Linked DNA regions of Arabidopsis thaliana. The protein of the gene in region 2 interacts with the protein of the main gene of each other region in a pairwise test. Each region holds a gene or a part of one and is shown on either strand. Other genes may lie near its edges.

Region 1 (4,443 bases), on a different chromosome or scaffold from region 2:
GTCGTACACTCGTACTGTGCTCTTGTACTATTCTTAAACTAGATGACTTGAAAGAAACGAACATAAGTTTTAATAAAAATTAAACATTGCAGAAATTTAAAGAAACAAATGAAAGGAGTGGGTTTTTTCGTTTAGATTAAAAATGGACAAATGATTGAGGCCTTGAATGGTTCCAATTTTTGAAGTAGTTTTTTTATTTTGATTTTGCAAAAACTAAATAATTACTCATTCATTCTTCTACAAAAAGTAGATTTTTTAAAAAATAGGAAAACTAGATTTTAGGAGTTTTTAGCTATTTCTTCATAGAATCTAAAAACTAAGTTTTGTGGGTTTTTAAAACAATTTACGTAACCCTTTTTTTTTAATTTACTATTATTATTTAATTATGCTATTTTTACCATTTATCAATTCATCCAAAGATAAAATACACAATTTAAAAATGTTTAAACATTAAGATTAAGTAAAAAAATTAAAAATTATATAAATTTCCATTCGAGTTAAAAAAAATATAAAAAAATTTCCATTCTTGATTTTGCAAAAACTAAAATCCACAACAAAAATCAAAAACTTCAAAAATCAAAAACCAAAATTCAAAAACCGAAAACTAAAAACCAATTAAAAACTATAAAACATTCAGGACCTGAGTTAAAATTATGATTAATTTTGCAAAAAATGACATGATAGTAAAAACGCTTATGTATGGCTATGTTAGCGTATAGGTTTTTTCGTTCAGATTACATGTGTGGTAGGTATCATGTAAAGTAAAATGTCGTAAGGTAAAATAACATTTATTTATTTTTGGTCACTGATGTTTATTTATCGAATTAAGGAGGTATACAAAACCGGCTAGTATAACGGACTTCCGGAGCCAACAGCCCCATCCAGAAGAAACATAAAAACTTGAAACAAATGAAAAACATAATTAAACCAAACAGAGAAACTAATGATCTAACTGCAAAAATATCAACTATCTAATTAGCTAGAAATTTTGAAATTGGAAAATATGAAAATCTAAGCATAACCTCTCAATCTTCATGTCTCACTTGCTTATTAGTAGACTTCAAAAGTACAATCATGAAATTCCATTAGATCCTAACCGTTAAGTTTCGAACTTGTACAAAAGACTGTTAGAAAAATCCTGGTAAGTGATGTCGAAACCATCGACTTTACCGGTGAAAGGAATCCCAAACCAAAACAGATTTCGCCCAGATTTAAAGGGAGCATCGAGTGGAGAAGCTTAAGAGATGGTCGTCCATACCGCTTCACCAACCACAACTTAGACAGTTGGCATAGGACCGATGCATATATAGACCAAAGAACTCTGATTATGAGAACAGATACTCTGCAGAAAAACCAAAAGATCCCAGCCAAATAAAGAAAAAAACAAACCTAAAAACTTAAGCCGAACCAACGTCGTGGCTTTGGAAGTCCACGAACGTTAGTCGGAGCCACAATTTTGTCGAAAAAAATGACCAGGAGAAAAAGAGCTGGTATAGAGAGAAAACTTTTCGGAAAAAAAGCTCTCCGATAAAATAACATTCTAATTTTATAAAAAATGACTAAAATTATGTAACTTTTACAAAATAAACTAAAAATCAACTTCCATTTGTTTACATATTTCCCATCACACAATATTTTTTTTTGTTTTTTTTGTTTGCTAACTTGGGTCATTTTGATTTATTTTGGACCCAATAAAAATCAAGTGTTTTGACCAGTAAAGATGTCTTCAGTAGTCACGTAGACACAGTGATGGCTCACACGTTCAGAACGGAAATCACTCCCCTGGTCTTGGCCAAATATATGCTCCTCTAACTTAGAGTGCTAACCACTCGGCCATGAAAATGTAGCTAAACTTCTTAGTTTTACAAGTAAATCTTTAAGCTATAGCAGGATATAGATATACTCTCAAAACTAATTTGGAAATATTAATGATCAAAACAATGACACATTGATACCTTTAATTTAGCAAAATATATTCATATACCAACATTTATACATAGAAACCCGAAATTTCTCAACTTTTTTGTTCACATTTACTACTCTAATGAAAATTTACAATCTCAAGGTCGACAAAAACAGAGGAAAACTACTTCCCCAACAAACAAAAAACAAACCGACAAAAACAGAGAATCCAAAAAAGTACACTCTTGAGAACAGAGCTCAGTAGTCAGTGGTTTTCTTCTGTTACTTTAGATTCCCCATTTTGTCCTTCTTTCTTCTCCATATTAACACAATCCAGGCAAATCTTGGCCGCGACCGGAGTGGCTAAGAAGGTAGGGTTGTTTTGTCCAGCCATGATCACAAGAATCTTCTCCTCAAAAGCCTTAGCCACCACTTTCTCACCGGACTCCGTCTGTTTCTCTTCATCTTCTGTCTGCCGCGAGAGCCTCCAGTAGGAGCAGGCGAGCAACAAGAGAGCAAAGGCTATGAGTCCAAGCATGGCGGCTAAACCACCGAATAGGTAAGGAACCGGTGTACGCCACGGAGACCGTGTCTGAGACTCCACCATTGTTGTCATCATCTTCTCATTTATGTTTCCTCTTATGCTTGGAAATTGCCTCATTGTTTTATATTTCTTATTCTTGGATTTGTTAAAGAACAGAGGAGAAGAAGCTTGAAAATTGTGAAGCTTATACTTTTTTTTTATAACTGTGTAGCTAGTTTGATTTTGTTGGAGTGGTTTGACATTTTATTTATAGTACTGGAAGAGAACAATAGAGGGAAGAGATGTAATAAATATTTCACAATATTATTATAAAACAAAATTGAAGGTAAGTGGGTCACGGAATCTTCATGATACGTTACGTTGCTTTGATCATGCACCAGGTTCGAAGATATTTAATCATACGTTTTTGCATTTAGATATATACCTTGATTTTTTTGTTTATAAAATCCTTTTTGGATAATCAAACTTTAAGATCTCAATTCCGTAATCCCTTTTTTTATTTGTTAAAGACAGTTCCATAATCTCCTCGTGTCAGAAATTATAACAAAAAAAAATATGAGGTAGATATTTGAAAATGTGATCCCTTTTTTGTTCAACTTAATATGTGATCTTACCATGTTATTTATGGCAATGAATTTGTGATTTTTTGGATAAAGAAATCATTTATGAAGATGACATTTGTTGACAAAAGACAACTACAAAAATAGATAAATTATCATGTTTATTTAGAAAATTATTTATTAGTAGAATTGACTGATCTCTTGAATTCCATTGCGTCTTGAAAAACAAGCAATATTGTTTTACTTATTCGTTGTAGATTTGTTTCATATATACATGATCGATCAGCTGAAAGAGTGGCCAACTATACATCTTAATTGATCAATTTAGAGCTTCAAAATCTAGTTTTTTGGAGTTTAAGGTAGTCTACAAGCCCCATATACGAGTAATTTTAAGCTGATTTCTTATAAGTGATATAACAGTTAAAACCATTACACTAAAGTATGAGATAATTTCCACATGATGATTTTGTAAATTGTGGATGCATATATATTTAGTGGAGGTTATGCATATTGTAAGTAGAGTAGTTTGTTTATGTTTTATGAGTGAAGATGATTTATATATGTTCTTGGTGTTATAAATGATTATAAATTTAGGTTTTGAATGATTGCAATAAAAAAAAGCAGAGAAATGTTTTCTATTTTTGGAACGGACAATAAACTGATGTAAATCAAGCTTTTTTTCTACGTAAAAACAATCTATAGTTAGTTTGCCGCATACTTGTTCTATTTTTTACACGACAACAAATTATAGTTCATAAATACTAAAGAAAAGTAGTATAAACCGGAAATGAATTGGAAATGAATTGGTTCGTCCTAACTGGCGCAACTATTCGAACCCTTATAATTTTATCGACATCATATTTGGGAGAGACAAACAGAAAACATAATTATATGATTATTTGGATTTAGGAATATTAAGAGGGCCCAGCTTTGTGTTTTATTCGGGCCCATGAATTTCACATGGCCATTTGTTATTACGCTAAGCCAGGGATATGTGTCTTTTCGATGGTGCTATTTGGATAATGATGTTTGCCGTTAACAGTAAATTATATATGGGTTTACTTTTTAATATTCCACAACAACAATCCATAGATTTTATTTGTATCCATAGTTGGAAGAGAATATATTTCATTTTTTAATCATGTCGATTGCCAAAATTGTTAGATTAATATTTGAACATTAATATAAACCATATATCTACAATCTCTAAATGAATAAACTATGTCTAGTGAACCATAAGATGGATTAGCTCTTATTCTTGGATTATGTTATTTTTCTTACTCACTTATGAGTTATGAGTAATGTTTTTATTCATATGTGTTGTAATATCCGAAATTTGAGAGTTTACTTCATAAATTATCGAAAGAATTCTGATTATATTGAACTCTGTTTTTCATACGTACATCTCCTTTCTGATGAGGTTTTTTTTTTGGTAAA
Region 2 (6,455 bases):
AACTTGATTTGACTCAATTATCTAGTGCCATAGAAAGCCTAAAACTATATGTAATTTTAAATGTATTGACTCAGTAAATGAATGTATATGTTGATCTGTGAGATGTTCCAAACTACTTGGTAACATGGGGATGCATGTGACTTAGATGCCCAAATTATAGGGAGCAAAAACATTGATCACCAATCCCTTCACTTGAATAATAATTTTCTGTGACATGTCTAAAAGGTGGACTAAAAACAAAAATCTTTTGGCAAACTCTAAATGTCTTTTGATTGGATAGTCAACTTTTTTAGACACCAAAATTTAAAGTAACAAAAAAGGAAATTTTCTTTTGTATCGGAACTTTCGAATGTAGTGGTGTGAAGGAAAAGAGAGAAACACAAATAAGAGTGAGGCCTAGGCGTGCGTTCCAACCAACCGACCATGTGGAATTATATGATAAAAGAATGTTTGTATTTTACATCAAGATTGCAAATGTTTAAATTTTAAAGCATTAAATAGAGTTGGATACTGCGCTCATCCCAAAATGTGTGAAATTCAATATTAGCTAGTTAGTTTAGAATGATATAGTCTCTTGCAAAACATCATACATAAAATAGTATTTAATTTGATTTGTTTGGTACGCTCACAAAAAAAAATAGAATAAATGAATATAGTGTCTTGCAAAACATCATACATCAAATAGTTCTTTGATATCCTAACTATTATTACTGGTTTCTATACAATTTTATATATCCAACCTTTACCCGAAATGAAGAATTCATTTTATAATAAACTATAAAATTTGTCTTTTTATATTCTTGCTAGAAGATAACAATATTGTTGTCATAATTAGGACTGTGAAAATGGTCCAAAGGTGCCCTTAATAAATAATTGGACCTATTTGTTTCACTTTCTAGTGGAATATCTTTATACACAATTATTGTTTCTCCACTGTGGTTTCGCGAAAATGACCACTCAACCTTTTCTTGGTAGATGGTAGGGGTATAGAATAAATGATTCTTTATGTATATTCGATTTTTTAAAATAATCAAGTATATTTAAAATAACTAGCGCACAAAAAAAAAAGAACATTGCATTTTGAAATCTGCGGTGAAATATAAAAATATTTTTGTATAAACTTTCATAATTTGTATTTTCTTATTAATACATTCCACTTATTGAACAATAAGATGGTGAGGCCAGATTCTCGCAAAGCATTTCCGTTTATTAACACATTCGCCTCTAAACGGGTAGTTGCATTCGCAGACAAGTACCTCTATGGACTATGGCGAATTCGACGAAGCCAAAGATCATATATTTTTATGAGTCCTTTCTCCTTCAAAACGTGGCCTTAAGTTGGTGGTCCTCTACTAAGCTCGCATCTCACTCCTGATTGGATGCATATGCAACCCCACCTCGTCAATGGCACTATCAAAATTCTCAGCTTCTATCTCTTATGTTTGTTGTGAGCGATAGTGTAATGACTATATTCAATTTTTACCGTACGAAACAGTAAACCGTCAGCTCTAGTGATCGACAAAATAACAGATCGGGTCTCCTCGCACCTATATTTTAATATGACTTGTCTTCACGACCTCATTAGATGTTGGCTCGAAGGAAGAAGTACTGATCAAGATTGTTTCTTTTCAACTTCCATTCTTCTAAAAGTCTATTTGTTTCTTTTCAATCTTCATTCTTTTAAAAGTCTATCTTTTCTTTCAAACTTTTGAAATTCTCTATTAATTAAAATATAAATATCTTTGTTGAAGCTAAATTTTACATTCCAACAGAAAAAGAGAAAGTTAAACTAATAGAAATGTACAGACGGCACTTATTCCCAAAATGTAAGTTACATTTCTATAATAAAACTAACAACACTGAGAAATGAGAATGATCTTATCAAAAAGAGAATGATAAAAAAAAAAAGAAAAAAAAAAGAGGGAATGATCCCATCAAGTTTTCGGAGTATTGCTTGTACACACTTGGTCTAGGAAAAATCTTAGGAGGTGAAATGTTACTTTTGCATTTAGGCCCAATTATATCTTCTGTTTTTAAGAAGTTCTGACTAGTCTGTTTATTTGTAATCTGGGCTAAACTAAATTTATTTGTAAAAGCAAAGGTACATTTAAAAAAAAAAAAAGACGCTCACTCTATTGTGTTCTTCTTGTTCACGTTTTCTTTTGTCGCTCAACAATATAGAGTAAAAACAAAGACATTAGGGAAAAAAAATGAACAATTGAACATTACATAGAAAGTATGAATTAATTAAGCACATTGTTAACTCTAACGACACAATCATGTTATATATAAAATATATATAGAGCGAGTGTCAGTTCTTGAACTCACTCTCACAATTCTCCGACACAATCTCAACCTTCTTCGCATCTAATAGTCCCTTAACCTTAACATCACAAGTCACCACCACTTCCTTGTTCCGTTTGACCGGCCCTGCTTCATACTCAGCCTTCAGCTCCATATTCAGCATCAGAACAACCGGTTGCTTCGATCCACGAGGTTGTACAACTGCGTTCTTGGTCGACCCATTAAGCTTCACATTGACCTTGTCGGATCCAGATGCGGCCTGGGACAACCCCGGAAATTTCCCGCTCCCCAGGCTCTTATTCTTGTACGTTAAGGAAACGACCCCGTTCTTTTCCATCATGTAGCGTACTCCCATGTTAGACGTTGGATTCTCGGCTCTTAATGTGACCTCAAAATTACTAGGATTTACGGTCAATCTCTCGACCGCGAAAACAGGAAGAGTGGGGTTGAAAGCGAAATGGAGGATGAGAATGATTGCACCGAGTAAGAATCCGAAAATGACCAAGATAATGAAGAACCACAAAAGACGTTTAGAACACCCTTTCTTTTTGTTTTTCTCCGGGTTCTTGCTGCGTTTCTCGACGTATTTTGCATGTTCCGGAGGAGGGGTCCAATAGACTTGATCTCTCGGGACTTGGACAACGTACGTCTCTAACTCAGGGATTGAATCCGGAGGAGGAAGAGGCGGAGAAGATGTCGTTGGGAGTGGAGACAGATTAAGAGAATGATTACGCCAATGGTGTGAACCGTGCGATGGAGGATCTAAAGATGGCAATGCGGGGAGGCTAGAGGTTGGACGGTGCCAAACGGACGGAGGATCATCGGGTTTGTCATCGTCAGAGTCAGGGGCGGTGGCGGAAGGAGGACGCCGTGGCCCCTCCATCGGAGAAAGGTGGGAGTTACGAGATGTGTGGTGGAGATTGGTCTACAGAGAAGACGAAAGAGAGAGAATTAAGAGAGGATGCGAAAATTAGGGTTTGCATGGGAAAAGTAAGTGGTTGTTGTTGCATGACTCAAACTTTTGGTTGGTTTTGAGAAGATTTTGCTATTTAGAGTTAGCCAGCTCACCTTAAATTTCCCTTTTTCTGTTATTTAGAAAACTATATTACAGAACTCATATAATATAGTATTATGGCATTTGATGATGATCAACGAAGTTGTTACTTTTTGTTTACAAGATATCGATTTTCTAACATAAATTATATATGCATATAAGACATACATGAGTAAAATCTTAAAAAGGTTAGCACATATTGGTAATGTTTATCATGAACGAGTCTTATTTTATTTTGTACGTTTCGAACTAAAACCATTTTTGGGTGGTATTTCTGGACCAAATTTTCATTAAAGTGTTTTTTATTTCAATTCTCTTGCAACTTCTGTTTCTTTAGAAAGCGAAAAATGCATATATACGAATATACGTTGGGATTGACATGAACGGAATGTATGTATTTACACACATTAATCCGCAGCAACCGGCCATTCAAAATTATGTTTGTGGGCCTTGTTGCTGCTTCGCTGACAATACTATCCAAAATTTATTTCATTTTTCTTTCTTTGAAAAACACACAATCACTTAATTTTCATTTATAAATCAAACATATGTACATGAAAATATCAAGGAAATTAAAGGAAATCTTACCTTCATATGGTCGAAAGTTTTCTTTCAAAAAGCAAAAACAAAAATTAATGTTTCTCTAATTCTTCCCCGGCCCCAATCCACGTGAAACATGTTATGTTGCGAGCATTACACTGGAAACTGTTACATTACATTCTAATTGGCGAAAAATGAAGTGCATTTGTATTGTATCTCACGAAGATTTGCGTTTGTGACAAAAAAAAATATGCAATTTTTTTCGAAATCTGACAACCCATGCCGACCTGTCCGCCGAGTTAACGACGTGCTTATAGGATCCTTAAGTATTTTTATTCTTATTTCTTACTCATTCCAACGGACCAAAAACGACCACGTCATCTTCATACGCAACTCCCAAAACAGACGATAATTAAATCATTGAAATCTAAACTCTCATATACTTTAGCATTTTCAACATTTCTATTAATATTTCCATAGACTAGATCTCTCTTTCTTATACATCCATATCACCGATGATGCCTCGCCGTGACGTCCTCTTCCTCTCACTCCTCCTCGTCATCGCCACCGTCTCCGCTGTCGCATTAGCCGTAAGTTTTCCAAATCTGACTTGCTTCCTCTCATATATGATTTTGTCTAGAACTAGACACACACATTAACCAGATTTGAATATGTATATAATGACACAACATCAATGACATTAGTTTAAACTATTAGACTACAAACTTCTGTTTCTTCCCATTTAAAAAAATGACTTTCTTGATTTCACAGGACGATGAAGCAGATTGTGTCTACACATTCTTCCTTAGAACCGGATCAACCTTCAAAGCCGGTACAGATTCGATCATAAGCGCTAGAGTCTACGACAAATACGGAGACTACATCGGGATCCGAAACCTAGAAGCATGGGGTGGTTTAATGGGACCAGGTTACAACTACTACGAGAGGGGTAATCTCGACATTTTCAGTGGGAAAGCACCATGTCTTCCGAGCCCAGTCTGTTCATTAAATCTGACCTCTGACGGCTCCGGTGACCACCACGGTTGGTATGTTAACTACGTGGAAGTCACGACAGCCGGAGTTCATGCAAAGTGCTCGTACCAAAGCTTTGATGTTGAGCAATGGCTTGCGTCCGATACATCGCCGTATGAGCTCAGTGCTGTTCGGAATAACTGTCCAGTTTCGCTTAGGGAAAGTGTCGGTCGGGTCGGGTCTGAGATCCGGAAGACTCTCTCTTGGATCGTGTGAGAGTAGTGAATGAAATGTCAAATGTGTATGTGTGTGTGTAACTTGGAGAGTTGTTCTTTGTTGTCTTGTGAACGTGTGATGGCAATAATGAAAATGATTCGATCGAATAAAAGTTCCGTTCTTTGTTGTTTGTGAGATTTTTATCAAACATTATTAAGTTTTTCGTGTGATGAAATTAAAAGATAATTACTGATCATATTAAAAAGAAAAAAAGATAATTACTGGTTGATATAGTTTCTTTGTTTCGTTTTATTTTCACAAATAAACGTTCAAAGCTACAACCTTATGATTAATCAAAACTTTGCCAAATAGTATAAAAGATGGGCCCTTTTCACATTTTTCGATGTAATTTTAAACATTTAATACAGAGTGGATCTTCACAATTTTAATCATTTTTGTGCATGTTCAAAAAGTCAACAAGAAACTTACAATTTTGTAAGAAACATCAACGACATTAATTGGTATTGGCCTAAACCTCCTAATTAAGTGACATTTGGTTGAAACGGAACATTTCTTTGGGTCATACTAATAACTGAAAACCATTATCAAATGAATGACTTTAAAATTCCTCCTAAGGCACCATATAAATCTCACTATGCTCCTAATCGTCTTTTAAATCTATAAAAGAAGGTGTGAGCAATAAGTTCCTCAATGAAAATTGAAAAAGATCATCCCTGCACACATAATCTATAGAACCACAAAGCAATATACAAGCTAGACATAAAATAAATAGACAATATGCCTTTAAAAGATAATTACTGATTGTATAATATTTATTTACAAAGACTTCGTTAAGGTCAAAATATTTATGTCTAATCTCCATCCCCCTAGAACATGTTTTTTTCTTTCTTAATAATAGTAACTGTCTAAAAAGAAAGAATTTATGATTCTCATAAAAATTAGAAGAAACAGATTAAAATGGTTTTATTCAATCATATTAATTGACAGAAAATTAAATGTCATATAAACTACAATGAAGAAAATGATAAAGTAGTGAACCTAGTGATAATCCTTTAAACTAACGATCACATGATTCGATGCAACAAAGTAATAACAGACTTATTTGAATTGCCGCGTAAGACTTTGAAGATATTGCTTTCAAAGACGAGAAAACATTGTTTCATCATAAAAATCTTCAAATACATCGAAACAGTTAATGATCGCATGTTCATCTCATTTCTCATACCTCTTTGGACTTAACTGGTACGTAAAAAGATGATAGGCTAATAATTTCGTTGAGACAAAAACTAATTTAAGGTTAAAGCATTAACTATATAATTGTCTATTTTTGTGTTAACGATCACATGCA

Evidence for each region.
Region 1: the proteins of AT2G22180 (region 2) and GDU5 interact in a protein complementation assay, tested with the Arabidopsis thaliana proteins (one large-scale study listed by BioGRID).

What each region holds. Positions count from the first base shown.
Region 1 is NC_003076.8:8,582,785-8,587,227, reverse strand, and holds GDU5 (glutamine dumper 5), read right to left. Parts: upstream 2,694-4,443; 5' UTR 2,564-2,693; coding exon 2,168-2,563; 3' UTR 1,931-2,167; downstream 1-1,930. UniProt on the Arabidopsis thaliana protein: Probable subunit of an amino acid transporter involved in the regulation of the amino acid metabolism. Stimulates amino acid export by activating nonselective amino acid facilitators.
Region 2 is NC_003071.7:9,425,701-9,432,155, reverse strand, and holds AT2G22180 (hydroxyproline-rich glycoprotein family protein), read right to left. Parts: upstream 3,414-6,455; 5' UTR 3,188-3,413; coding exon 2,312-3,187; 3' UTR 2,015-2,311; downstream 1-2,014. Other genes in the region: PLAT2 (Lipase/lipooxygenase, PLAT/LH2 family protein), read left to right, coding at 4,414-4,488, 4,670-5,146.